Stegostoma tigrinum: one gene and its partners. The protein of the gene in region 1 binds, or shares a complex with, the protein of each later gene. Links are inferred from orthologs where the notes say so. Each region holds a gene or a part of one and is shown in the gene's direction. Other genes may lie near its edges. The genes, in order: c29h9orf78, ppp1r8a, A-kinase anchor protein 17A-like and ttf2.

Region 1 (7,063 bases):
GACGACCTCCAACGCCATAGGCCGCCGCTGAGCCTTCTGGGAGATGTAGTTCGTACCGATGCGCCTCCCGCTTTCCCGGATGACGTTCGGTTGCTGTGGCGTCATTTGGGACACACCCCCGAGCGGTCGGATAGTGCGCATGTGCTATGTGGCCACGCCCTGGAATGTCCAGGACTCATGGGCCAGGCCATTCAGCCCAAAAAGTTTATGCTAGCAAAACAATCAGCTTCTTACTTTAATTAAAACAAAAGTCTGTTTTGAAGATAATAAAATGTGAGGGTGGATGAACACAGCAGGCCCAGCAGCATCTCAGGAGCACAAAAGCTGACGTTTCGGGCCTAGACCCTTCATCAGAGAGGGGGATGGGGTGAGGGTTCTGGAATAAATAGGGAGAGGCGGACTGAAGATGGAGAGAAAAGAAGATAGGTGGGGAGGTAGGGCGGGGATAGGTCAGTCCAGGTAAGACGGACAGGTGAAGGAGGTGGGATGAGGTTAGTAGGTAGGAGATGGAGGTGCGGCTTGGGGTGGGTCTGTTTTGAAGAAGGGTTTCAGAGATAGTAGGAACTGCAGATGCTGGAGAATCTGAGGTAACAAGGTGTAGAGCTGGATGAGCACAGCAGGCCAAGCAGCATCAAAGGAGCAGGAAAGCTGATGTTTTGGGCCTAGACCCTTCAGAAGGGTTATCTCTGAAGAAGGGTAACAGGTCTTGAGAGCTAGCTCTGCTTTCTCTCTACAGATGCTGCTAGACCTGCCAATTTTCTCAAGAACTCTCCGTTTTTCATTATTTTCCACCTTTATTCTTTCTTAGCAGGTGAATGTCACTGGCACACATCAGGCATTCTGAAACACGCATTTATTACCCATTCCCAATTGTGCTCTGTCTAAATGGCTTGCAAAGCCATTTTCAGAAATTTCCACAAGATTTGGAATGTGATTCCACAAAAACCAGTTCAGGCCAAACATTACATGATTTCAAGAAGCTATTGGACATAGGACTTGGGGGAGAAAGGATTGAAGGGTATGGGGAAAAAGTGAAAACGGATTATTGAGTTAGATGATCAGCCATGATTATAATGATTGGCAGAGTAGCCCTAAGGTATCAAAAGACCTGCCCCTGCAGCTATTTTCTATTTTTATATGTAACATAGATCCTTAACAATAAAAAGGATTTATGGTGGCAAATCGACAAAATGCAACTCAAATGGTATCAGTGCACATTGCCATAATACATATCAGTTTCTAGTGCTCAGTCTTACTTCCCGTTTTGCTTCTGAATATTTCTTTCAAATGCAGAAAATAGGGTACTGCCATTTAAAACAGCCTTTGCGATCCATCTGCACGTGTCCACTTGCACTCATGACGTACCATTGGTGAAACCATGCAGCAGTGTCAAGTCTATGTGCATGTCCAAAAAAATTTTAAACAATTGCAAACCACATCTAATCTTTGTTGTTCTGTTGTATGTTAAGGCAATCATTGATAAAAAGCTGAAGAGGCTTCTGCCATAAAATTGAAAGGAAAGTGCTTAGATTGGGTACATGTAAAACCAAGAGACAGCTCTTAAGGGAGATCAGAGTTGGGTAAATGGAAGCAAAGTGCAATGGTTCTCTTCAAACGGAGAGGATCCGTACATTATAAAATTGCAATTTCCAGTATGCTGACAATTATCCAGCCTGTCCTCCCAAATGTAATTTCTTTAGGTCTTACTTATAAAACAGGCATGTTGTTGGATGAGAGTTAAAACCAAGACTCCAAATTTAGTGCTCCACCTACTGGTGGCATAGGCCACAATTGTAGCCCTATAATATCTACGGTTAACATCTACACTGCTCCAAACCAAAACACCAGTTTAGACCTGTGACTCTTCTTCACAACCCGACTCCTCACTTTGTCCTTTGTTCTGTGGTACGTTGCTCCGATCCAGGGCCAAGAGACAGGAATCACAAAACCTGGTGCTGCTCCTGGGAACGTGGCTCCCAACCTGATCACAAAAAGTCCCACCTCCTGACCCAAGCACGGTTGGCCTCTTAAAGAGATAATGGGAACTGCAAATGCTGGAGAATTCCAAGATAATAGAATGTGAGGCTGGATGAACACAGCAGGCCAAGCAGCATCTCAGGAGCACAAAAGCTGACGTTTCGGGCCTAGACCCTTCATCAGACAGTCTGATGAAGGGTCTAGGCCCGAAACGTCAGCTTTTGTGCTCCTGAGATGCTGCTTGGCCTGCTGTGTTCATCCAGCCTCACATTTTATTATCTTGGCCTCTTAAAGCACCAGTCTCCGTTATTGGGCTCTGGTGTACACCCTTGTTCCAAGATGCCCTGACTTTCCCTTATGTTCCATTCCCTCTTTTTCTACACTACCAAAATCATCACTTTTCCAACAACTTGCAGTTCCAAAGAAACTCAAAACATTAACTGTGTTTATTCCTTTCCACAGATGCTGCCGGGCCTGCTGGGTTTCTCCAGCATGTTCTTATTTTATTCTGTCTTCTCAATATTTTTCAGTGGGACGAGGATGAAAGAAAAGGTCTGTGATAGAGTTGCAACAGGGAGAAATTGAATGACAGAAAATTTAATCCTGAGGGCTAAAGTGAAAGCGCTGAAAACCTATAAGGATCTGGATAACTATTTTTCCTAATTCTAATAAAAAGTCCAAGATCTCAAATCATTGGGGGGAATGTGGGCGGGCGTTGAATCTTGACAGAGTGGATGTGGAAAAGATGTTTCTTCTTGTGGGAGAATCTAGAACTAGAGGTCAGTCATTGAAAAAAAGAAAGAAATTTACATTTTTTTATTGTCACATGTACTCAAGTACAGGAGTACAGTGAAAAGTGTCAAATGTCACCAAGTTACCTTGGTATCTAGGTACAAAGTGATAGAGAGAAACAAAGTTAAAAGTTCAACATTACAGACCACCTCGAGAAAAATAAAGAGATAAGGTAATAGTTAACATTGAAGTTCTTCTTAATATTAAGTAGAAAAATAAAGAAATATTTAAAATTTCAACTGTCTTTCTTGAGCGCTTAGCCATGCTGGGGCCCCAATCTCCTCCACTTAGTTCGTTCTCTGGTGACCCTAGCAGCGTTTCCTCACCGCCGCTGACACAGATACTGGGGGACATCCCTCACCGCTCATTCCTCCCATGTTCTCATAGATGGTCCCATCTTCCTCAAAAGGCAGTATAAGCAGAGTCCTTGATTATCTTTAAAGCAGAGGGAGCTAAATTCTTGATAAGCAAGTAGGTGAGAGATTATCAGTGGTATGCAAGCATGTAATCAGAACACCACGATCCTACTGAATGGCAGAACAGGCTTGAGAGGTCGAGCATAATAATCCTGCTCCCATTATTTTATATATAGAAAATATTAATTAAGTATCTCTCTCTCTACACAAATACTTCAATAAACTGATGAGTTCAGATTGTGGTTGATCTTTTTACAACATGAAAGGTTAAGGAGATATACGCTGGGGACAAAAGACCACAAGAAATAGGAGATAGTAAGAACTGCCGATGCTGGAGTCAGAGATTAGACAGTGTTGAGCTGGAGGTACACAGCAAGCCAGGAAACATCAGAGAGGCAGGAACATTGACATTTCAGGTCAGGACCCTTCTTCAGAAAAATACATCAACTTTCTCGCTCCTCTGATGCTGCCTGACCTGCTGTGTTCCTCCAGCTCCACATTTTTTTTTTGTAAAAAGAAATAAGAGCAAGGATATTGCATTTGACAAAAACAGAAATTGCTGAAGAAACTCAACAGGCCCGCGGAGATAAGTAGGTGTAGACCTGGAGTAAACTTTGGATCCTGTGAGCCGCCTTCGCAACGGTCCTGAAACATCAACATCCTCTTTCTTTCCACAGAAACTGCTGACTTTCTCGAGAATCCAGTGTTTTGCTTCTTCGGGTGAGTTATTGAAGAAGGCGTGAGTATCCCTGCGGGGCGTGAGTATCTGTACTGCACAGACTGTGAGAATGGCAACATTGCGGGACTGGGTCACATGATGCCGTGCCCGCTGCACTGTGGGAAATGGAGTCCGGGAGTCGCCGGAACCTGTCCGTTGAACCGGAAGTTCCTCGGTCCGACCTCCGTTGTCAGTCTGCCGCGAAAGTCGGTGTGGTTTAGTGAGTAACGGGGTTTTGAAAAGAAACTGTGTTTGAGCTAAAAGAAGGTTGCACTGGGCCCCGGAATGCCGGCGGGGAAGAGCTACCGCAGGAGGAGAGAGGAAGAGTCGGATGAGGAGGATGAGCAGAGGGTGGTGGAGGTCAGGTGAGAGCCGAGGCTTCAGTGGTCCAGCTAGGCCTCTTGCCCTCAGCCCCAAAGAATAGCCCAGCCGGCGAGGTTCTTCAATCCATTTCTGAACTGTTAACTGCTTTAAGGGTTCAAGCTTCTGGAGAGGACAGTCTTTGTCTTTACGTGGCGCTATTTGTACTGCAGGAAACGCAGCATCAAGATTGTGCCCAGCAAACTCCCACACGAATGTGACGATAACAAACTATGTTGATTGAAGGATAAATATCGACCCAGAACCCGGGGAATAGTCAACAGATCTGGCAGCATCTATGGAGAGAGAGAGAGAGAGAACTGGAGTAACATTTTAAGTCTGATATCAGAGCCATATTTGACTTGAAACGTCAGCTCGTTTTATCTAACCACGGATGCTGTCTGACCTGCTCAGTATACCCAGAACGTTTCCAATATGTGTTCCAGACATGTTCAGTCTGCCAGTTAGTCACTGTTTATCTGCTGAATTTCGGATAGTTTTGCATTTGAGATAGAGCATCAGCCGGAGGATTGTGCTGACTGGCAGAGTGAGTTTGATGAGCTGAATATTCCACACCACCCATTTTTCTATGCTTTGATTTTCAGTTTTTATCTTCAATTTCCAGCACTTGCTTTGCTCTTACAATGGAGGAGCTTCCTTGCTCTTCAAAATAGCGGCCATTGGATATTAGTCCAGTCCAAAAATGTACAGGTTAGGTGGATTGGTGAAGTTCCTTGTGGAGTCCACGGTTGTGCAGGCTAGTTGGGTTAGCCATGGTAAATGTGGGATTATGGGGATAAAGTAGGAGTTGCTGTTTAGAGGGTTGGTGCAGATCTGATGACCTCTGCTTGCACTGCGGGGATTCTATCATTTGACATCTACCCAAGCAGGCACATGGTGTTTCTTGTCTCAACAGAGAAACAACACGTCCAACAGTCAGGCCGTCCCTTAGTATAACATTCAAGCTCCACCCTATGCTCTGGACCATAGCTGACTGCTGAAGTCTAAAACATCCTCTGAGTGAATGCATACAGTTTGGTGGCTGCCTCATGTTCAATACATAATTCAGTCTTCGTCCTCAAAAAATGCCTTTAACTCTGTGAAGATTGAAAATAGCCACAGTTGCCGAGGCTTTCGTCAAAACAGATTAATTCAGAGCCAGAAGTTGATTAATAGGGCCCCTCCAGCCTGCTGTGCCATTTGATAAGATTGCGTCCTCTACTCCACTTTCCTTTGTAGCTAATACTGTCTTATTAATCAAGAATCTTCTATTTCTGGCTTAAAAAATATTCAATGACCCAGCCTCCACTGCTCTCTGGCGAAAAGAACTCCACAGACTAACTAGTCTCTGAGTGAAAACAAATGTCGTCTCAAAAGTAGGAGAGCCTTTGTTTTTTAAACAAGTTTTCATCTTTTCTCTAAGGGCAATATCCTCTCCACATCCGTCCTGTCAAGCACTTACCCCTCCCCACCCCTGTGCAAACACAGTAAACGCACCACAATCTTGTATATTTCAATAAGATCACTTCTCAGCCTTCTGAATTCCAGTGTCAATGCTGCGAACTGTGTTGTTGATTTATGGTCATTCACAATCATGTCAATGTTTGTGAGACCACAGGCATCCACTTTATTCTCCCGGGATGGTTGTTAAAATAGTAAAGCAATGATTCAGATATTTTTGAGTCAACCTGTTTGTTACACAGTGCTAGAGCAGTTTGGACTTGAACCTGGGATCAGAGTTGCAAAAGCCCTGAAAAGCATTCATTTCTTCGTGGGTATTTTTAATCAACCTTTTGGAGATGTTATGACATGCCTCAGGTGTAGGTGAGATTTGAATCTAGGTTTTCTGGCTCAGATGCGTGGACACTTCCACTGCACCAAAAGAGCTCTTTAAGTTCTTTGTGGACTTCCCTGATTTTTTAAAAATCAGCCTGTTTAGCAATGTTAATACACACCTCTGGAGCTGGTGAGACTTGAACCTTGGCCTCCACAGTCCAGAAGTAGGGGCACTACCACTGCCAGAAGAGTCCTTTCATTTGTTTGTGGATTTTCCTGACTTATTTTTTCCAATCAACCTGGTCAGCAATGTTGTTACACACCACTGGAACAGGTGGGATTAAACCCTGTCCTCTTAGTCTAGGAGTAGGGACACTAGCTGCACCCAAGAGGCCCTGAGGGCTCCCTTGAAGCAGTTGTCCTTGTTTGCTTATCAGTGGTTGTTAGTTCGTTATGACTGAGTGGTCAAAAGACTCTTTCAGGGACGCAATTGACGGTTAAGTACATCACTATGAAACTAGCGTTTCTGGCTTGCCATGGGATGACAGCAGAATTCCTCCGTTAACACAGCATTAGTGAACTGAATTCAAAGTCTCAAAATGTGTCAGAGTCTCAACCAATATGAAAGCTTGCTCCAAGTTACAGTATCCTCTTAAAAGAGTTGGGAAGTAGGGACGGATGCATTGGTTTATTAGATGATCGTCATTTAGGTCTGGGTAATGGAGCACGGCATCATTTTTTGCTGAGCAAATGTTGGTTGTTTAGAATTATAGTTGCAGTGTCCTCTAGTGGTTACACTAATGTTATGAAAGATTTTGGTTTTTGCTTGCAGCCCAAATGCAGTGGAGTCAAATTTACAAGTGATACTAGCCTTCTTAAGTCAGTAACTGTGATCAGGCGGTTATCTCCACTGATGTATAATAAATTGCTTACAACATAAAAACATCCAAGAGCTTTTGTGCCAGAAGACCTGGATTCAAGTCCCATCTCTGCTGCAGAGGTGTGTCATAACACATCTGAACAG
Region 2 (7,455 bases), on another chromosome or scaffold:
TGATCCCTTTAGCACAGGCGTCTCCAAACAGATTTGAATCCATTTACAATTACTTCTGGCCTCAAGGCTTCTAGCCAGTTTATAATCCAGCTCAGTGTTAGAACTAATACCATTTGCTTTGATGACATAGAGAAGCCTCTTAAGCAAGATGTGACTGACCTTCCTGGGTTATGTATATCCTTTATCCTTTACCAAATCAACACAGAGCTAGCTAATTGTAAATTCAAAAAATAGATCCATATTTATTAAATTCTTCACGCCTTCTACATATTTAAGATTCAACAGCTGTCTCTACTGTAAAGAATTCCACTGAAGAATTCATTGCCCTCAGAGCAAAAACTTCTTCCTTATCTGTCTCAATGGTCAATCCCTTACTGATTATATCAGAGATAATGGGAACTGCAGATGCTGGAGAATCCAAGTGTGGAGCTAGATGAACACAGCAGGCCAAGCAGCATCTCAGGAGCACAAAAGCTGACGTTTCGGGCCTAGATAAGCCCTCTAGTCCTCGATTCATCCACAAGGGGAAACAATCTGTCTACATTTACTCTGTCAAATTCCACAAGAATCTTGCATTTCAATAAGTTCTCCCATCCTTCTGAATTCCAACAAGTGTAAGCCCAACCTACTCAATTTCTCCTCATGAGAAACCTGCTCCATACCCAGGATTGATTCAGTGAACCTGCTGTGGACTGCATCCAATCAGGAGGAAATCTCCTTAGGTAAGGGAATCAAAATTGCTTCACAGTATTCCAGCTGTGTTCTGACTGGTGCCTTATATTGTTTCAGCAACAGCTCCCCATTTTTCAAACAGCAAAATACTGCAGGTATTGGAAATCTGAATCAACCACAGAGCATACTGCAGAAGCTCAGCAGGTCTGGCAGCATTTAAGGAGAAAGAAACATTAATGTTAACTCTTCGAAGAATGATACTGACTTGAAACATTTACTCTGTTTCTCTGTCCACAGGCGCTGCAAGACCTGCTGATTTTCTCCCACGTACTCTGTGTTTGTTCCCTATTTTTATACTCCATTCCCTCTAAATAAAGGTCAACAATCTGTTTGCTTTCCCTATTACCCGCTGAACTTGGATGCTAGGGGTTTTTTTCATAATTCATGCTACAGGATTCCCAAATCCTTCTGTGCCATGGCTTTCTGTAGAGTCTCCCCAGCCTCCTGAAAAGACCGTTGCTCTTTCAATTCTTCAGGCTTTTGCCCAAGTTTCCATGTGCATCTGCAGCCTATATGACTACACAAGGTATCACTGCTAAGTGCAGTGTTATCTTACTCCAATGTCCAAATATGTACGTTCAGGGAGATTTAGATTTGACGGAAATGTCAAAATCATGATGTTGACTCAGTGAGATATTGTGATCTGGAAAGTATGGCTGGAAAGGATGGTGGGAAACAGATTCAACAAAACTTTCAAAAGAGAAGGGGGTAAATATTTCAATGAAAATGATTACAGGGACAGGAGTGTGATGTTATTTGGATGATTGTATTAAAGAGCCACATAGCCAAATAGGGCCGAATAGCCCCCTTCTATGTTTTGTTATTCTATGATTTTTAAGCCCTTGTTTAAGAATCGGGATAAGAATTCTAGTGTCATTTTATTCCCTTCCAGCCCAGGATCACTGAAGCCAAACATGTCATTCCAATACATCCATAAACTAACTAAATCTGAATGAATGCTGAATTACAGGGATTGCACAGTGGCTCAGTGGCTAGCACTGCAGCGTCACAGTGCCAGGGACCCGGGTTCAATTCCCGCCTCAGGCAACTGTCTGTGTGGGTTTCCTCCCACAGTCCAAAGATGTGTAGGTTAAGTGGAGTGGCCAAGCTAAATTGCCCATAGTGTTCAGGGCTTTGTGGGTTATAGGGGGATGGGGATGGGTCTGGGTGGAATGCTTCAAGGGGCAGTATGGACTTGTTGGGCCAAAAGGGCCTGTTTCCACACTGTAGGGAATCTAATATGACTTTTGGGATCCCATTCAGCACATTTTCTTCAAATTCTCAATTTTAAATACATAACCTCGTTTCTTTAATTTCCACTGCTCACTAACTTTAGTGACAAAATAGAAGTGTGTCTAATGAGTCACACCTTTCATGTCTCACCAGAGAAAAACGTATCTTATTTCAGACTTCTTGTTTCCATTCCCTTAAGATTAAGTTTACTTATCTGTTTCAATTCCTGCCAAAGTTAAATTTATTTTGTTAAGGAAAACATTTACAGCAAGGGACTGGTGCAGAACATTGGCAATTCAACTCAGGATCGTGTTTGAACCCAGTCCTACCCTGTCAGATATTCTCTTTCTTGGCCAACTGTAAGTACTTGAATTGCAATATGTCTTGTCAGTTTCACCCAATTGTAAGCAGGTGCTGACTGCATAGCTGTCAGCATGCTTATAAATTGGCACTAATTGGCAGTCTTAGTTGGCAAAGTCATAAGGAAAATAGAAATGTCACAAATGGGAATTAACACCATTGGAATGAATGCAGAGAAATCCATCTGTGGGTAATGCTTTTTTCTAAACAAGCTACTAGGAGTTTTGCAGATATGCCTATCTTCTGCCTCACCTTTGGTAAATTAGCTTAGTTGGCTGGACAGCTGGTTTGCCTTGCAGAATGATACCAACAGAGTGGTTTTAATTCCTTCACCAGCTGAGGTTACCTTGAAAGAATCACCTTCTTAGCCTCTTCCCTCCCCTAAGATGTGGTGACCCTCAGGTTAAGCCATCACCAGTCATCTCTCGCTAATGTGAGCCATCCTATGGCCAGGCAGGTTTGTAGTGACTTATATTACTTTCTAAATTGTTTTTATTTTCATGAAGTCCATTGAGTCCATCTCGTTGAGAGCCTAAGAAAGACTGAAAACTTTATTTTGAGAGTGAATGCCTGAAAGAATCATACAAGATTTAAAGTTTTAAGACTTTCACACTGTATACAAACTAAAAGTAACACAGACTAAACACTACTGCAGTTCATCATATATTCTCTCACATTCCCGTGTGCCTGAAATTGTGACCTCCTGTCCAATTTCAAGGCTTTCCTGGGATAATGCCCATCTCTTGAGCCATTGCATTCCATGCGATGTATTAACAAATTAGCAACAAAAGGACTATTCAGAAAGGGGAACATGGTAGCTTGTGAACAGAAGGTCTGTCAGAGTACCCAACTCAGCCACCTGAGCCTGCTCTGCTATTTAATATGATCAAGACTGATCTTATATTTCAGCCTCAACTCCCCTTTCCTGCCTGCTCCCCAAAACCCTTTACTTTGTAATTAGTTAAAAATCTGTTTATCTTCCCCCTTAAATTTACTCAATTTCTTGGCTTCCACCATGATCTCCGGTAGTGAATTAGAAGAGTCTGAACCCTTTGAGAGAGGTAATTTCTCAATTTGATACCCTTCAGCCTAAATCTCTCATTCTAGATTGCTCCCAAAAAAACGGAGGGGAACATCCTCTCCACACCTGATTTATCAATCCTCTCTATTATCTTATTCACCTCAATAGGATTTCCTCTTTCTTTTAAATTCCATAGAAGAATGAATTACCAATATAGTCAATATAAGTCCAACAGCTCCAACATTCTGAGATAATGGGAACTGCAGATGCTGGAGAATCCAAGATAATAAAGTGTGGAGCTGGATGAACACAGCAGGCCAAGCAGCATCTCAGGAGCACAAAAGCTGATGTTTTGGGCCTAGACCCTTCATCAGAGAGGGGGATAGCGAGAGGGTTCTGGAATAAATAGGGAGGGAGGGGGAGGCGGACCGAAGATGGAGAGAAAAGAAGATAGGTGGAGAGAGTATAGGTGGGGAGGTAGGGAGGGGATAGGTCAGTCCAGGGAAGACGGACAGGTCAAGGAGGTGGGATGAGGTTAGTAGGTAGGAGATGGAGGTGCGGCTTGGGGTGGGAGGAAGGGATGGGTGAGAGAAAGAACAGGTTAGGGAGGCGGGGCCGAGCTGGGCTGGTTGTGTGGTGCAGCGGGGGGGGGGGATGAGCTGGGCACGTCCCATCCCCCCAAATGCACCACACAACCAGCCCAGCTCATCCCCTTCCCCCCCGCTGCATCCCAACACCAGCTCGGCCTGTCTCTGCCTCCCTAACCTGTTCTTCTTCTCACCCATCCCTCCTTTCTTCACACCTCCATATCCTACCTCCTCACTTATACTGTCCTCTCCATCTTCGGTCCGCCTCTCCCTATTTATTCCAGAACCCTCTCTGATGAAGCGTCTAGCTCCAACATTCTGTCTGATACCTGTAAACAGCGCCCCGTGGTTCATTTGACCTTGTTTTCCCCCTCTCAAATTCTGTTCGCAAAGGCAAGTGGGATTTGTAGTTCAGAACCCGACGGGTCTTGTGGCGACTGCTGGTGGACTACATTTCCCAGGGTACATGCGGTGGGCTTGTTAGCATGCGCAGGGGGCTTTGGGAAGCCCCGCCCACTCCCTGTTACCCAGAATCCGGTGCAGCCTTGTCTCGATGTGATTCAAATGCAGCCGATTCAGCTCAAGCCCGTCTTTGACTGTCCGACATGGTGAGTGTGTATAGCCATGCTGCCCCGATCTACCGGGGACGTGGAAGGCACCTCGCAACCTTTCGATTGCAGATAGGCAGCTTCCCCCGTGGCTGCGCTTTGTGTCGGAGGCTGCAGCCTGACTCACTAGGCCGCGGTGTGTAGTTGCGCTGCAGCGGCGGGACCACTCCTCCCACCCCACCCGACTCCTCCCTCCCACTTCAACCCCCGTGTCCCCCCCTCTCTCCCCTCCCTCTCTCTTCCTCCCACCCGTTTCATTTCCGCCCCCATCTCCGACTATCCCTATCCTCCCCCCAAACCACCCCGGCTCCACCATCTCCATCCCCACCGTCTCCACCCCCCCCCCTCTCCACCGTCTCCACCCCCCCCCCTCCACCGTCTCCACCCCCCCCTCTCCACCGTCTCCACCCCCCCCTCTCCACCGTCTCCACCCCCCCCTCTCCACCGTCTCCACCCCCCCCTCTCCACCGTCTCCACCCCCCCCTCTCCACCGTCTCCACCCCCCCCTCTCCACCGTCTCCACCCCCCCCTCTCCACCGTCTCCACCCCCCCCTCCACCGTCTCCACCCCCCCCTCCACCGTCTCCACCCCCCCCTCTCCACCGTCTCCACCCCCCCCTCTCCACCGTCTCCACCCCCCCCTCTCCACCGTCTCCACCCCCCCTCCACCGTCTCCACCCCCCCTCCACCGTCTCCACCCCCCCCTCCACCGTCTCCACCCCCCCCTCCACCGTCTCCACCCCCCCCTCCACCGTCTCCACCCCCCCTCCACCGTCTCCACCCCCCCTCCACCGTCTCCACCCCCCCTCCACCGTCTCCACCCCCCCTCCACCGTCTCCACCCCCCCTCCACCGTCTCCACCCCCCCCTCCACCGTCTCCACCCCCCCCTCCACCGTCTCCACCCCCCCCTCCACCGTCTCCACCCCCCCCTCCACCGTCTCCACCCCCCCCTCCACCGTCTCCACCCCCCCTCCACCGTCTCCACCCCCCCCTCCACCGTCTCCACCCCCCCCTCCACCGTCTCCACCCCCCCCTCCACCGTCTCCACCCCCCCCTCCACCGTCTCCACCCCCCCCTCCACCGTCTCCACCCCCCCCGTCTCCACCCCCCCCTCCACCGTCTCCACCCCCCCCTCCACCGTCTCCACCCCCCCCTCCACCGTCTCCACCCCCCCCTCCACCGTCTCCACCCCCCCCTCCACCGTCTCCACCCCCCCCTCCACCGTCTCCACCCCCCCCCTCCACCGTCTCCACCCCCCCCCTCCACCGTCTCCACCCCCCCCTCCACCGTCTCCACCCCCCCCCTCCACCGTCTCCACCCCCCCCCTCCACCGTCTCCACCCCCCCCCTCCACCGTCTCCACCCCCCCCCTCCACCGTCTCCACCCCCCCCCTCCACCGTCTCCACCCCCCCCCTCCACCGTCTCCACCCCCCCCCTCCACCGTCTCCACCCCCCCCCCCACCGTCTCCACCCCCCCCCTCCACCGTCTCCACCCCCCCCCCTCCACCGTCTCCACCCCCCCCCTCCACCGTCTCCACCCCCCCCCCCACCGTCTCCACCCCCCCCCTCCACCGTCTCCACCCCCCCCCTCCACCGTCTCCACCCCCCCCTCCACCGTCTCCACCCCCCCCCTCCACCGTCTCCACCCCCCCCTCCACCGTCTCCACCCCCCCCCTCCACCGTCTCCACCCCCCCCCTCCACCGTCTCCACCCCCCCCCTCCACCGTCTCCACCCCCCCCCTCCACCGTCTCCACCCCCCCCCTCCACCGTCTCCACCCCCCCCTCCACCGTCTCCACCCCCCCCCTCCACCGTCTCCACCCCCCCCCTCCACCGTCTCCACCCCCCCCCTCCACCGTCTCCACCCCCCCCCTCCACCGTCTCCACCCCCCCCCTCCACCGTCTCCACCCCCCCCCTCCACCGTCTCCACCCCCCCCCTCCACCGTCTCCACCCCCCCCCTCCACCGTCTCCACCCCCCCCCTCCACCGTCTCCACCCCCCCCCTCCACCGTCTCCACCCCCCCCCTCCACCGTCTCCACCCCCCCCCTCCACCGTCTCCACCCCCCCCCTCCACCGTCTCCACCCCCCCCCTCCACCGTCTCCACCCACCCCTGCTCCACCATCTCCATCCTCCCCCTCTCCCCCCCCCCCCCCCCCACCGGCTGCGCCATCTCTACCATCACCCCCCCCCCGCCCCCACTTCTCCATCTCCACCCCCCATTCCCACCACCCTCCGCCCCCATCTCTTCTCTTCCCCCCGGCTCCCCCATCTCTTCTCCCTGCTCCCCCATCTCTTCCTCTCTCCCCACTCCCCCCATACCCCATCTCTTCTTCCCCCGCTCCCCCATGCTCCTCCTTCCACCCTCCTGCCCCACTCCCCACTCTCGTTTCCGTGCCGTGAACCCTTTGGAAAAACCTATCTTATTCCCTACTGTCCCTCAGGGAAGGAAACTGCTATCCTTACCTGGTCTGGCCTACACGTTTCTCCAGATCCAGTGATGTGATTGATTGCCCAGAGGCAGTTAAGAGTTAATGCCAATCTAGTCCATGAATGAATTTTTAAAAAATGGTTGTACCCAAGACTAGTCAGATTTATTTGAATGCTTCGTCCCTAGAGCTGGTAGAAAAATTCAGAACGGTTTGATATCACTCCTGTGTCATAAATGATCACCTTTCAAATCACTTGTCAAGTCACCACTACTTCATCCCAGTTATAGGCTCAAAGTACTTTTTCCTGTAGCTACTAGGTTAGTAAAGATTGAATCTATGTTCATCTCTCTGCGTTTCTCTGCATTTCAAGCGTTTTTTCCTTAGTTCATATGTACATCACATGGAATTTTCTCGCGCTCACCATACTATAGTGTAGAAAATTTAGGGGCAGAACCAGTCTTAATGGAAACATATCCCTGAGTG
Region 3 (6,931 bases), on another chromosome or scaffold:
AAGGATCTAGGCCCGAAACGTCAGCTTTTGTGCTGCTGAGATGCTGCTTGACCTGCTGTGTTCATCCAGCTTCACACTTTGTTATTGAGAACATGTGGCCAACAGGTTTTAATTCCTAAAAAACAGCAGAGAAGTTCCAAAAAATCACAATGCAGCTCGGTACAATTTTATTTTAATTTTATTACAGTTCAGTTCAATCATAATTACAGTAGTTACAGTAGATAAAATGAGCAGAGTAGTAAAAATGAACCTGTATACCTCTGAAATTGCTGCAATCCTTTCTCTGAGGTCTAACCTGATTGGGGCTTTTAATCTGGTCCAATCAGGGAGTCCCAGCTGGAAGGTAGAAACAGGAGTGTCAGACGTACTGTTCACTCAGAAAGCTGGCTCTGAGGTAGCTGGATCAGCGTCAAGTAATATATATGTGTGTATAAATTATGATCTGATGAAAGTTTACGAGCTTTTGTGCAGTTATTTCAGTGACGACGAGAGATAAAATATGCTCCTGAAGAAATTCACTTACAGCAGTCGTCTTTGAGTGGGATAAGCATTTTTACCACCGTGCAAATGTTTGAGATGCTTGATTCATTCGATCCTGCCTTCGCAGACTGGGTCCAATATCTGGAAAGAATGCATTATTTTTTCTGGGCAGTTGACATTTGGGCAGATGAAAACCAATAAGTAATTCTCACGACAGCTTGTGGAACCGGAGATTTACTGGTTATTAGGAGACCAATGTTTCTTAAGGCACTAGATAGTAAAACCTTTCAAGAGTTGGCGGATTTAGTAAAGGAATATTATAACCCCTCGTCTGTATTAATTCTAAGATGCTGCCAGTTTTATTCGGCAATTCAAGAACCAAGGGAACCCGCCGTGGGAGTTTTGACCAGGTTAAGACAACTGGCAAAGGCATGTGATAATGGGAACTGCAGATGCTGGAGAATCCAAGATAATAAAATGTGAGGCTGGATGAACACAGCAGGCCCAGCAGCATCTCAGGAGCACAAAAGCTGACGTTTTGGGCCTAGACCCTTCATCAGAGAGGGGGATGGGGTGAGGATTCTGGAATAAATAGGGAGAGGGGGGGAGACGGACCGAAAATGGAGAGAAAAGAAGATAGGTGGAGAGGAGAGTAAAAGTGGGGAGGTAGGGAGGGGATAGGTCAGTCCAGGGAAGACGGACAGGTCAAGGAGTGGGATGAGGTTAGTAGGTAGGAGATGGAGGTGCGGCTTGGGGTGAGAGGAAGAACAGGTTAGGGAAGCAGAGACAGGTTGGACTAGTTTTGGGATGCAGTGGGTGGAGGGGAAGAGCTGGGCTGGTTGTGTGGTGCAGTGGGAGGAGGGGACGAACTGGGCTGGGTTTGGGATGCAGTGGGGGAAGGGGAGATTTTGAAGCTGGTAAAGTCCACATTGATACCATTGGGCTGCGGGGTTCCCAAGCGGAATATGAGTTGCTGTTCCTGGAACCTTCGGGCGGCATCATTGTGGCACTGCAGGAGGCCCATGATGGGCATGTCATCTAAAGAATGGGAGGGGTAGTGGAAATGGTTTGCGACTGGGAGGTGCAGTTGTTTATTGCAAACCGAGCGGAGGTGTTCTGCAAAGCGGTCCCCAAGCCTCCGCTTGGTTTCCCCAATGTAGAGGTAGCCACACAGAGTACAATGGATGCAGTATACCACATTGGCAGATGTGCAGGTGAACCTCTGCTTAATATGGATAGTCATCTTGGGGCCTGGGATAGGGGTGAGGGAGGAGGTGTGAGGGCAAGTGTAGCATTTCCTGTGGTTGCAGGGGAAGGTGCCAGGTGTGGTGGGGTTGGAGGGCAGTGTGGAGCGAACAAGGGAGTCACGGAGAGAGTGATCTCTCCAGAAAGCAGACAAGGGTGGGGATGGAAAAATGTCTTGGGTGTTGGGGTCGGATTGTAGATAGCGGAGGTGTCGGAGGATGATGCATTGTATCCGGAGGTTGGTGGGGTGGTGTGTGAGAACGAGGGGGATCCTCTTTGGGCGGTTGTGGTGGGGGCGGGGTGTGAGGGATGTGTTGTGGGAAATGCAGGAGACGCTGTCAAGGGCGTTCTCGACCACTGTGGGGGGAAAGTTGTGGTCCTTGAAGACATCTGGGATGTGCGGGAGTGGAATGCCTCATCGTGGGAGCAGATGCGGCGGAGGCGGAGGAATTGGGAATAGGGGATGGAATTTTTGCAGGAGGGTGGGTGGGAGGAGGTGTATTCTAGGTAGCTGTGGGAGTCGTTGGGCTTGAAATGGACATCAGTTACAAGCTGGTTGCCTGAGATGGAGACTGAGTGGTCCAGGAAGGTGAGGGATGTGCTGTAGTTGGCTCAGGTGAACTGAAGGTTGGGGTGGAAGGTGTTGGTGTCCTCCAACACTTCTGCCATCTACAATCCGACCCCACCACCCAAGACAATTTTCCATCCCCATCCTTGTCTGCTTTCCAGAGAGACCACTCTCTCCGTGACTCCCTTGTTCGCTCCACACTGCCCTCCAACCCCACCACACCCGGCACCTCCCCTGTAACCGCAGGAAATGCTACACTTGCCCCCACACCTCCTCCCTCACCCCTATCCCAGGCCCCAAGATGACTTTCCGTATTAAGCAGAGGTTCACCTGCACATCTGCCAATGTGGTGTACTGCATCCATTGTACTCGGTGTGGCTTCCTCTACATTGGGGAAACCAAACGGAGGCTTGGGGACCGCTTTGCAGAACACCTCCGCTCGGTTCGCAATAAACAACTGCACCTCCCAGTCGCAAACCATTTCCACTCGCCCTCCCATTCTTTAGATGACATGCCCATCATGGGCCTCCTGCAGTGCCGCAATGATGCCACCCGAAGGTTGCAGGAACAGCAACTCATATTCCGCTTGGGAACCCTGCAGCCCAATGGTATCAATGTGGACTTCACCAGCCTCAAAATCTCCCCTTCCCCCACTGCATCCCAAACCCAGCCCAGTTCGTCCCCTCCCCCCACTGCACCACACAACCAGCCCAGCTCTTCCCCTCCACCCACTGCATCCCAAAACCAGTCCAACCTGTCTCTGCCTCCCTAACCTGTTCTTCCTCTCACCCATCCCTTCCTCCCACCCCAAGCCGCACCTCCATTTCCTACCTACTACCTCATCCCACCTCCTTGACCTGTCCGCCTTCCCTGGACTGACCTATCCCCTTCCTACCTCCCCACCTATACTCTCCTCTATCCATCTTCGGTCCGCCTCCACCTCTCTCCCTATTTATTCCAGAACCCTCTCCCCATCCCCCTCTCTGATGAAGGGTCTAGGCTCGAAACGTCAGCTTTTGTGCTCCTGAGATGCTGCTGGGCTTGGCAGAGGCATGTGACCTTGATTTAATCCTTAGTGAGATGTGAGAGATCATTTGATATGTGGGATTGATGACATATCTGTGCAAAAGCACCTATTCCTGAAGCACAACTGGACTTTAAACAGTCTCTGCAACTAGCTCTGTCATTAGAAAGTGCAGCAAGTGGAGCATGTGAGTTACGGGGTATGATGAAGGGTCTAGGCCCGAAACATCAGCTTTTGTGCTCCTGAGATGCTGCTGGGCCTGCTGTGTTCATCCAGCTCCACACTTTATTATCTTGGATTCTCCAGCATCTGCAGTTCCCATTATCACGGCAACATGTTCTCATTCCCGTGGTGTCAGCACTCGGATATAATCGGTCACCCTCGTGTACTTTCGGCACCATCGTTGCCCCTCACAAAGATGGCGGCAGTGGGCAGTCAATCGTGAAGACTTGTGCGCCCGGCCTCCCGCCCCGATGAAAAGTCCCTTAAGCCGTCTATTAGTTGCCTGACAAAAACTCCGCGTGAGGTGAGACGCCGGTTGGGCGAAAACTGCGCTCTCTGGGAAGCGCCTTCCTTCAGCAACACGCGAGAGGAAGATCTCCGCGAAATAGGTTTGAGGCGTGGTGATGGCCCTGCCGGGTGGAATCATCAGGCGGGTTGGCTGGTCGGTCACAACGGTCCTTTATGAGCTGGGTCGCTGTGGTGCTGGAGGTGGTTGTTGCTGCTGGCCGGAGGCCTCTAGCAGTTTGCCGGCCCTCGGCCTAACGTTCCCCCCGCCCCCGCGCTGCAGCTTCACGAAAAGGTAGGTCGCTGAAAACCAGCTGCCCTCAAGGCCACGAACCCCTGCCTCCATATCTCGGAGCCGCCGCAGCGTTGTCTTAATTCACTAGGACATTTCTGTCCGAGTCGCAGGCTTTGATCACGTCATGTTTGTGTTTTGTATAAGAGTTTATTTTTAAATTATTCACTCGAGGGACGTTGCTGGCTGGGCCCAGCAATTACTGTTGCCTGTCTTAAGTTCTGAGGAAGGACCCGAAATGTTATAACTCAGCTTTCTCTCTCCACAGATGCTGCCAGACCTGTTGAGTTTCTCCAGCAATTCCTGCTTTTTGTTTTGTTTCTGATTTCTGGCATCTGCAGTTTTGTTTTTTTTTTAAAAACTCTTCATTGCCCGTCCCTGGTTGACTTTGATTTGTGGTGGTGGTAAGCTGCCTTCTTGAACCAATGCATCCATATGCTTGAAAGTCGACTTAAATACCTTTCGGGAGGGAATTCCAGGATTTTGACTCAGTGACACAAAAGGAACATTTCTGGTCTGGATGGTGAGTGATTTTGAAGGGGAATTTTCAGGTGGTGGTGTTCCCATGTATCTGCTGTCATTGTCTTTCCAGATGGCTGTGGGTTTATTGAGACAACAAACAGAAATTGTTGGAGAAGCTTGGGAGGTCTGGCAGCACGAGGAGAGAAGAAGGCAGAGAGATGCTGCCAGACCTGCTGAGTTTGGATGGAAAAATATGGTTTTGTTTCAGATCTCTGGCATCCACAGTTACTTGTTTTACAATATGATAGAGATTGGTTAATAGAAACCAAATGATGCAGTTTTCTAGGAGGTGCAGGAGTAGAGAGATATGGGGCAAGGAGTGGGATATATACACACAGACTTGGAGGTAAAAGCAAACTACTGCAAAGGCTAGCAATGCAAGCCAGGCAGCAGTTGTGGAAAGAGAAACAGAGTAGATGTTTCAAGTCTAGTATGATGACTCTCTTCTGAATTGAAAGGCATTGGAAAATTAGTTGAATGTGATAGCATATGTTCTTTTCAAATACACATCAATCTGACTTGGAAGTATATCACTGTTTCTCAGGTGTCAATTTGTTAAAAGTCTCTGGCAACATTGTGGATCTACCTAAAGCAAATGGACTGCAGCGGTTCAAGAAGTTCAGCTCACCACCATTTTCACTATGATAATTATGGATTGGAAAATAATATTGACTTGGTCAGCAGAATCTACATTCCCTGTATGAAATATAAGAAAATATTTCTTAGAGGTCTCTATATTGCATGGACTGGAGGCAAGTTCAAGAAAGTATCTAACCACCACCTCTGTTAAAGTGGAGATGGGCAATAAATTCTGGGCTAACCTGCTGTGTCAATATCTCAAGAACAAAATTAACTTTGAAAAAGTTGAGAAGGCTACTTAAAATGCCAAGATAATAAAATGTGAGGCTGGATGAACACAGCAGGCCAAGCAGCATCTCAGGAGCACAAAAGCTGACGTTTCGGGCCTAGACCCTTCATCAGAGAGGGTCTAGGCCCGAAACGTCAGCTTTTGTGCTCCTGAGATGCTGCTTGGCCTGCTGTGTTCATCCAGCCTCACATTTTATTATCTTGGAATCTCCAGCATCTGCAGTTCCCATTATCTCTGATACTTAAAATGCCAGCTGACTTCCCTTGACTTGATGAAAGGATTTGGGAGTAAGGGATTAATACTAAACCTTTACAAACCATTGGCCTCAGCTTGTCTTGTGTCTGTTCGACAAACCTCTGTGGATGTACATATTAAACATGGATTGTATGGTGTGTGGCAATTCACGACTACCTTTTTGGCCAATTCGGTGTGGGTAATAAATGATCGTTCAGCCAGCGAAGCCCTGTGAAAGAATATTTAAAAATTGTTCTGGTCCTCAGGTTTTATGGAAGGATGTCAGATCCATTAGAGAATGATCTGAGAAAATTTACTGGAGCAATATTGGGGATGAGGTCTTTAAATTATGCAGAAGGAATGAAGAAGCTTGTGTTGCTCTCTTTAATGCCCAGAAGTATAAGTGGAGGTTCAGTAGAGGGTTTCAAAATTGAGGAATTTTGATTGATTTAGATATAGGGAACCATAGGAAGGTTGAGAACCAGAAGAGGTACTGATTATGTATGTTTGTAAGTGACAGTTGGCAAAAAAAGATGAGTTCTTTACATGGTGTGTGGTGATCATCTGCAAGACACTGCCTGTCAGTAATGAAAGGATATTTAATAGTAGCTTTGAACAAGGAGTTGGCATTGGATGTGTGCTTGAAATCAAGAAAAATTGAACTGATATGAGCAAAGAGCAAGGGAGTTCAATTAATTGGCTTTTTCAAAGAGCCAAGTTTTGCCCTTCTATGCTGTATGATTCCATGGTTCAAATACGATGCTGAAGTTATTCATACCTTTATTAATCTACATGTGCTAAATTGTTGATAATGTACCATTTTTATTTGGATGCCACCAACATCTGATGCAGTTCCACCTGCAGCTGCAGAAATCTGCTATTTTAGGTGGAACTTCAAAAAGTTGTCAACCCTCACCCATGGCTCCAATCTCCCAAGTACATTAACAGGAAAGTTTCTGAGTACTCACACCAGAGGCAAAGCTCAAGAGCATCCACTAATGTATTGCTAAATGACAATGTTAAGTATTTTTAAGGATCTGTCGTGTGTGATCCACAGTATTGCCTCTGAGGCAAACTTGTAATGTTGAGAGTATTAAACCAAAATTTACCATTGTATTTTTCTGTTAGAAAATAGAAAAGATCCATTTAACTTTGCTCATCTCTTTAAGGTCAGAATGTCTTGCTAATTGA
Region 4 (7,138 bases), on another chromosome or scaffold:
GTCTAGGCCCGAAACGTCAGCTTTTGTGCTCCTGAGATGCTGCTTGGCCTGCTGTGTTCATCCAGCCTCACATTTTGTAGACTCCAAATGTTAACCCTGTTTGCAGTTCCATAAATGCTGCCAGACCTGCTCGGTTTCTCTAGCACTTTCTGTATTAATTATGATAGTCCGTTGCCGGAACTCAGGTGAGAATTAAGAGTAAACACACCTTACTGTTTAGCTGCACAAAATTTAACACTGGAACAACAACCAGTAAGTATTACGCTGGTTAGCTCCTCCAAAGAATGGTCCTTTGTCCTAGTCTGAGGAATTTATCTTGTTATGTCAATTAGTCCTTTCAGCTACTTACTACCTTATACATTATGCACATCTGTAAGTGTAAGCATTTTTTTTACAATATTGAATAAGTTTTAGGCATCTACTGATCACGTATCTTGTCAAATGACAAATTTCTGAATGCTGCATTTTTACAAGTGAAGATTTTGAAAAAACTGCATACGTAAATTTTTTTTATTCAACATCAAGCAATTGGGTGATGTTGAATAAAAAAATTAGGGCGGCATGGTAGCTCAGTGGTTAGCACTGCAGCCTCACAGCACCAGGGACCCAGGCTCGATTCCAGACTTGGGTGACTGTGTAGAGTTTGCACATTCTCCCCGTGTCTGCGCGGGTTTCCTCCAGTTTCCTCCCACAGTCCAAAGATGTGCAGGTTAGGTGGATTGGCCATGCTAAATTGCCCGTAGTGTTCAGGGGTGTGTGGGTTATAGGGGGAAGGGTTTGGGTGGGATGCTCTGAAGGGTGGTGTGTACTTGTTGGGCAAAAGGGCCTGTTTCCACACTGTAGGGAATCTAATCTAAATATGTCCTCAAATTATTACATAGAATTTGACGTATTTCAGTAAATCAATTATAAGAAAGAATCAATAATCAAAGTGGAGTTGGTGTAAATCTGGCCTGAGCATATCAGTATGTTATTTTTTATTCGCTCATGGGTTTGGATGTCACTGCTCAGACCAGCAGTTATTACCATAACCAGTATCTGCCACTGCCATGAAGGTGATAGTGTAGTTCTTGGGACATAGGGACACCAAGAGTGTCGTGAGAGGCAGTTCCAGGATTTTAACCCAATTCCAGCTAAACTACGGTGATATATTTCTAAATCAGAACATGTTAGTAGTGAGGTTCCCAGGAATCTAACACGTTTATTGTCTAGATGGGGCAGTCAACGAATGTGAAAGGTGCTACTGGAGGAGCTTCGGTGACGTTATGTCAAGCATCTTGTACATGATATACACATCTGCCACTGTGCATCTGAGATGCAAAGACTGAACATGCAAGGTGGTAGATCAAGTAGTTTACTTTGTTCTGGATGGCATTAAGCTTCCTGAGTGATATTCAAGTTGCACACATCCAGGCGAATGCCGAATAAACACGTGCAATGTTGATGGCAGTTACCCATCAGGAAGACAGGAAATCTGTAATTCACATAGAATTCCTATGGTCTAACCTGCTCTTGTAGCTCAGTACCAGCTCGGTATTTATATAATTACTGTAGTTCAGTTTCTAGTCAATGGTGACCCCCATGATGTTGATAGTGTGACTTTCAGTGATGATAATGCAATTGTATATCAAGATGATGATTCAATTATTTGAGAAATGGTCATTGCCTGGTACAGGTGGTGTGAATGTACTTGCTATTTATCAACTCAAGCCTAGTTCTTGTCCAGGTGTCGTTGCATATGGACATGGACTGCTTCGGTATCTGAGGAATTAATCAATGGTGCTGAACATCGAAAATTCATCAGTGAACATCCCCACTTTTTACTTTATGACAGGGAGAAGGTCACTTATGAAGCTGCTGAAAATGACTGAATCCAGGACACTACCCTGAGGAACTCACAGTGGTAGAGTTCCTGCCTCTAGGCAAGAATGTCTGGGTTTAAGTCAAAACTCTCACAACATATCCAAACAGGTTGATTCAGAATACTTGCCCTGAGGAACTCATGTACTGATGGCCTGAGGCTGAAACGGTTGATTTCCAACAACCCCAAATATCTTCCCTTGTGCTAGGTTTGACTCCAACCAGATTAGGTTATCTAGGGCTAATAATTCAATTAAGACTGCTAGCAGCTACATGGATCATGACATGTGATTACCCTGTGCTTGATTAAGTTGTGGCAGGCACCATGTAAATTTTGTGCTACCCTGGTTCATTCAACAATTGCAGTAAGTAGCTGAGCACAAAACGTGCCACTGATAGTTTGCACACTCAGCAGTAATTCCAGAATTACACATGGTTAGCACAATACACAGCTAACTTGCAAATCTTAAAAGAGAAGCATGTTTATTTTCTTTATTCTTTTGCAGGATGTAGGCAATTGGCAAGACCATGATGTATTGTTCATCCACAATTGCCTTTGAATTGTCAAAATATATCATTGAAGAGAGCTATTTGATAAAGTTTAAAGAATTTTCTGTGTGCTTTTATTTTTGAATGTTGGTCAAAAAATGTGGCAATGATCCTTCAGAGACAGACTGATAGAACATAGAACAGTACAGCACAGAACAGGCCCTTCAGCCCACAATGTTGCGCCGACCATTGATCCTCATGTATGCACCCTCAAATTTCTGTGACCATATACATGTCCAGCAGTCTCTTAAATGACCCCAATGACCTTGCTTCCACAACTGCTGCTGGCAACGCATTCCATGCTCTCACAACTCTCTGCGTAAAGAACCTGCCTCTGACATCCCCTCTATACTTTCCACCAACCAGCTTAAAACTATGACCCCTCGTGCTAGCCATTTCTGCCCTGGGAAATAGTCTCTGGCTATCAACTCTATCTATGCCTCTCATTATCTTGTATACCTCAATTAGGTCCCCTCTCCTCCTCCTTTTCTCCAATGAAAAGAGACCGAGCTCAGTCAACCTCTCTTCATAAGATAAGCCCTCCAGTCCAGGCAGCATCCTGGTAAACCTCCTCTGAACCCTCTCCAAAGCATCCACATCTTTCCTATAATAGGGCGCCCAGAACTGTGATAGTTGAGAAATTTTGCAATAAATGAGATTTTCTGAGAACTGAAGTATGATTAACTATTCAAGGATACCTCATCTGGAGCAAAGAGGTTCCAGGTGCTCCCTTCCTTCCTTTTCATTTTTGCACTCACCCTACCGAGACCCTCTTTCTCTTCCATCTCTGAAGGAGGGATAGGGGCTAAGAGATTGAGAGAGTAAGGTAATGAAGGATGCAGTATCCATGAGTTCATGAAGTTGGAGCAATGTTCCATAAGAACTGGCAAGCTCCCTGGCCCTAGAAGTTGTCTAGGCAACTGAATATTTGTTTTCAAATATGTTTGGTTTGTTCCATGAAGTTTCAAGTGGTAGTGTGGCTTTCACTGTAGGCATACCATCCACATGTGGACACTTCTAAGCCAGGTGTACAATGTGTAACCTTATCACCAAGCAACCAGAGACTTGATCACCAAATTTCACCATCAAATATGGTGAGTATAGCTGTCGAAGATGGAAATAATTTACTTGTTGCCATGACAGCAAACATTTACCAACATAATGCTCTGTGCATGATGTTATGACAATGTAATTTTTTGATAATGCAATTACCAGTTTTTCCTTTCCAAGTGGACTTTTTGTTTTGAAGCTGATCAACTATTTCACTTTTTTTCAAAAAAGACAGACTCTGCCAGCATGCTTACAGCTGTAAACGAGCAATATCTGTATTCCTGACAGTGAGATGATAACACAGAATCAAACCGCTAGGGAACATGAAAAGCTAGAATTCCCACTGAATTAAACCACTTTATCATGTGTTTCTGACATCAGACTATAATTACTTGTTTTGAAGCAATAGCTGCTACAGGCATGAACAAATAGAATCTCTGCAAGATATACACATTAACAGAGGGTTTTGCCGAGACTTGATTAACTAAATTGATTACTAAAGCCTTGATTTTCTATCCTGGGGCAGAGGAAAAGAATCGGGCTCCATGAAACCACCACTTAAGAACGGCTGCTCACATTTCAGAATTTTCAGTCCGAGTTTTGGAGGCAGCTTGGATCGCAAGTCAGGACAGGTGACCTGAGAGAAGCCTAAGAGGATGCCCAGTTCTGGCCAGACTGGGATGCCAAGGGTCTGAATGAATCTAGCTCAACAAATCTACCATACTTCAACAAATCCCTTTGAAAGTAAGCAATTTACTGAAGTGTTACATGACTTATATAAACAAACATTAATGGTCTGATACTTTGGTGTCAACAAACGAAAAAAAACTTTTAAGTTCTTAAAAGTTTGTATCAACAAACATTTTCATTGAGAAGGAAGTAAACTTTCAATCAATAAGCACCCAACTGTGAAAATGATAGTTTGGGAAATCAGTCACTTGACACAAATCCTATAATGGTCTTAGGTAAACAAGCACTCTCAAACACTCATTTTATTTTTATCCCTTTTGGACAGTTTCTTGACAACATTGCAAGCTCTAATGAGTTAAACTTTTTATCTACACATATGCCTTTCAAACAGTCCCAGAGAGCACCGTTACCCTCACAAAAGGTGTGCCGGAACCATATCCGAAGGGGAACCTTACCTCTCCGAAAGGGAAGAAAATAAGAAACATTCTTCCAGCATTCACCCCTCAGTTCCCCTCATCCACATATACTCCCAATGCCCCACTCATGCCAACTCATATAACTTGCGGTCCTCTGGCCATCCCTCATGGCTCTTTATAACTTGATATCAAATACTTCCACTCACCACCCTTTTCCTGTTCACCTATCATGCCATTTCATTGAGTTAGAAAATGCAGCTTACTTGACAGCTAGCCTAACCAGCAACTTCAAAATTCATTCCTTACAACACAGACGCACTTTGACAGCAGTGTGTACCATCTAAAATATGCACTGCAACAATTCACTGAGGCTCCTTAGACAGCAACTTCCAAGCCCATAATCTTGAACATCCAGAAGGACAAGAGCAGCAGCTGAAGGGACACATCACCTGTAACTTTGCCTCCAAGCCATTCACCACCCTGACTTGGAACTATATGACTGCCCCTTCACCGTCATTCGGGCAAAATCCTGGAACTTCCTTCTTACCAGCATTGTGGGGATCCTCATGCCCCTAGGACTGTAGCAGTCCCATAAGGAAGATTACTGCTAGCTTCTCCAACAGGCAAGAAATGCTGGCCTAGCCTGTGATTACTATTTCTTCCTAAAACCAGAAGTACCTGCGCACATAAGAAATGTTCTATTATTTAAATTTTCATATTGCAGTTTTTACTCTATTGAGAAAAGTACAGCCCTTCCCAAATAAATATTGCAAGGTATTTTTAGTTATAGAGTCATGCAGCATGGAAACAGGCCCTTCGATCTAACTAGTCCATGCCAAACAATCTTTTTTTGTTCATGCATTAACGAGATGAGGATGTTGTCAGCTAGATAGCATTTATTACTCATCCCTAATTGCCCAGAGGGCAGTTCAGAGTCAACCACATTGCTGTGGGTCTGGAGTCACATGTAGGCCAGACCCAGTAAGGATGGCAGTTTCCTTCCCTAAAGGACATTAGTGAACACCAAACTAAACTAGTCTCACCTGCCTGCTCCTGACCCGTATCCCTCCATACCTTTCTAATTCATGTATTTATCCAAAAGTCTTTTAAACACAGCAATCCACCACTTCCTCAGGAGGTTCATTCCACGTGTAAACCATCCTCAAAAAAAAAAATGCCCCTCATGTCTTTTTAAAAAATCTCTCTACTCCCAACTTAAGGTGCCCCATAGTCTTGAAATTCCCCATCTTAGCAAAAAGACAACAACTACTAACTCTCTATATCCCTCAATATTCTGGAAACTTTTATAAGGTTGCCTCTCAACCTTCTAGGCTCCAGTGGAAAAAGTCTCATTCTCCATTCTCTCTTTCTAAATTCAATCTTCCACACCTGGTAAAACCCTGATAAATCTCTACTGAACCCTCTCCAGCTTAAAAATATTCTTCCTATAAATGGGCAACCAGAACTGGATACAGTATTCCAGAAGAGGCCTCACCAATGTCCTGGACAACCTCAACATGACCTCCAAACTCCTATACTCAAAGGACTGTGCTATGAAGGCAAGCACGCCAAATGTCTTTTTAACCACCCTGTCTATTGTGACGCAAACTTCAAAGAATTATGCACCTGAACCCCATGGTCTCTCTGTTCTATGACACTACTTAAGGCCCTACCATTAGGTGTCTAAGTCCTTCTGTTTTTTTGTTGTACCAAAATGCAATACCTCACATTTATCCAGATTGAATGCGATCTGCCATTTTTCAGCCCATTGATCTATTTGGTCAAGATCCCTTTTCCATCTCAGAAAACCTTCTTAAAAACTGTCTACTATGCCACTAACTTTGGCCTTGTCTGCAAATTTACTAACCATGCCTTCTATATTCTGATCCAAATCATTTATATAATTGACAAACAAGAGAGGCCCCAGAAACAATCCCTGCAGAATACCGCTGGTGACAGGCCTGCAGGCTGAAAAGTAACCCTCCACTGCCCTTCTGTTTCCAGCCAATTATGTATGCAACTGACAAATTCACCTTGAATCCCACATGATCTAACTTTACTAATTAGTCCACCATGCAGAACCTTGTTGAAAGCTTTACTAAAAGTCCATGTAAACAACGTCCATTGCTCTGCCCTCACCAGTCTCTGTTTACAGGCCTTGACAAATTGACAGGTTCAAGGCATTTAGGCCTATTTAATGCACAATCTTCTCTATACTTAATCAAAAAGAGTACCTGAACTCAAACCTCAAATGATACTGCCTTCCAGCCCAAGACTACCCGAAATGCACTGAAAACTGATCTGCTGATACCCAGACTAATCCCATCAATCTAGCTTCCAAGGACTCCAATTACACAAAACATCTTAAATGTTACTAACTGTGAACATGTGCAGCATGACCAACTATACCAGAGTGACTCAGCCACTTCTAAATTACTCTCGCTACATTCAAAAGACTGCCAAAAAACCAAGTCATGAGTGAACATCACCTGTGAGCTTGCTGGCAGAGGTTGCGGTGCAAAAACAGTTGTCTTTCATACTTCTTCATAGTCCTTGTCTTCTGGATTGCCAAA

Evidence for each region.
Region 2: c29h9orf78 (region 1) and ppp1r8a share a complex: the UniProt entries of both Homo sapiens proteins name them as parts of the spliceosome. The link is inferred for Stegostoma tigrinum from reciprocal best matches to the Homo sapiens genes C9orf78 and PPP1R8.
Region 3: c29h9orf78 (region 1) and A-kinase anchor protein 17A-like share a complex: the UniProt entries of both Homo sapiens proteins name them as parts of the spliceosome. The link is inferred for Stegostoma tigrinum from reciprocal best matches to the Homo sapiens genes C9orf78 and AKAP17A.
Region 4: c29h9orf78 (region 1) and ttf2 share a complex: the UniProt entries of both Homo sapiens proteins name them as parts of the spliceosome. The link is inferred for Stegostoma tigrinum from reciprocal best matches to the Homo sapiens genes C9orf78 and TTF2.

The regions. Positions count from the first base shown.
Region 1 is NC_081382.1:39,298,349-39,305,411, forward strand, and holds the start of c29h9orf78 (splicing factor C9orf78 homolog), read left to right. Parts: upstream 1-4,051; 5' UTR 4,052-4,188; coding exon 4,189-4,268; intron 4,269-7,063. UniProt on the Homo sapiens protein: Plays a role in pre-mRNA splicing by promoting usage of the upstream 3'-splice site at alternative NAGNAG splice sites; these are sites featuring alternative acceptor motifs separated by only a few nucleotides. May also modulate exon inclusion events.
Region 2 is NC_081377.1:38,910,813-38,918,267, reverse strand, and holds the start of ppp1r8a (protein phosphatase 1, regulatory subunit 8a), read left to right. Parts: upstream 1-4,431; 5' UTR 4,432-4,497; coding exon 4,498-4,541; intron 4,542-7,455. UniProt on the Homo sapiens protein: Inhibitor subunit of the major nuclear protein phosphatase-1 (PP-1). It has RNA-binding activity but does not cleave RNA and may target PP-1 to RNA-associated substrates. May also be involved in pre-mRNA splicing.
Region 3 is NC_081359.1:100,885,720-100,892,650, forward strand, and holds the start of A-kinase anchor protein 17A-like, read left to right. Parts: upstream 1-3,923; 5' UTR 3,924-4,119; intron 4,120-6,931. UniProt on the Homo sapiens protein: Splice factor regulating alternative splice site selection for certain mRNA precursors. Mediates regulation of pre-mRNA splicing in a PKA-dependent manner.
Region 4 is NC_081365.1:39,213,613-39,220,750, reverse strand, and holds the start of ttf2 (transcription termination factor 2), read left to right. Parts: upstream 1-4,129; 5' UTR 4,130-4,154; coding exon 4,155-4,203; intron 4,204-7,054; exon of another isoform or gene 7,055-7,138. UniProt on the Homo sapiens protein: DsDNA-dependent ATPase which acts as a transcription termination factor by coupling ATP hydrolysis with removal of RNA polymerase II from the DNA template. May contribute to mitotic transcription repression. May also be involved in pre-mRNA splicing.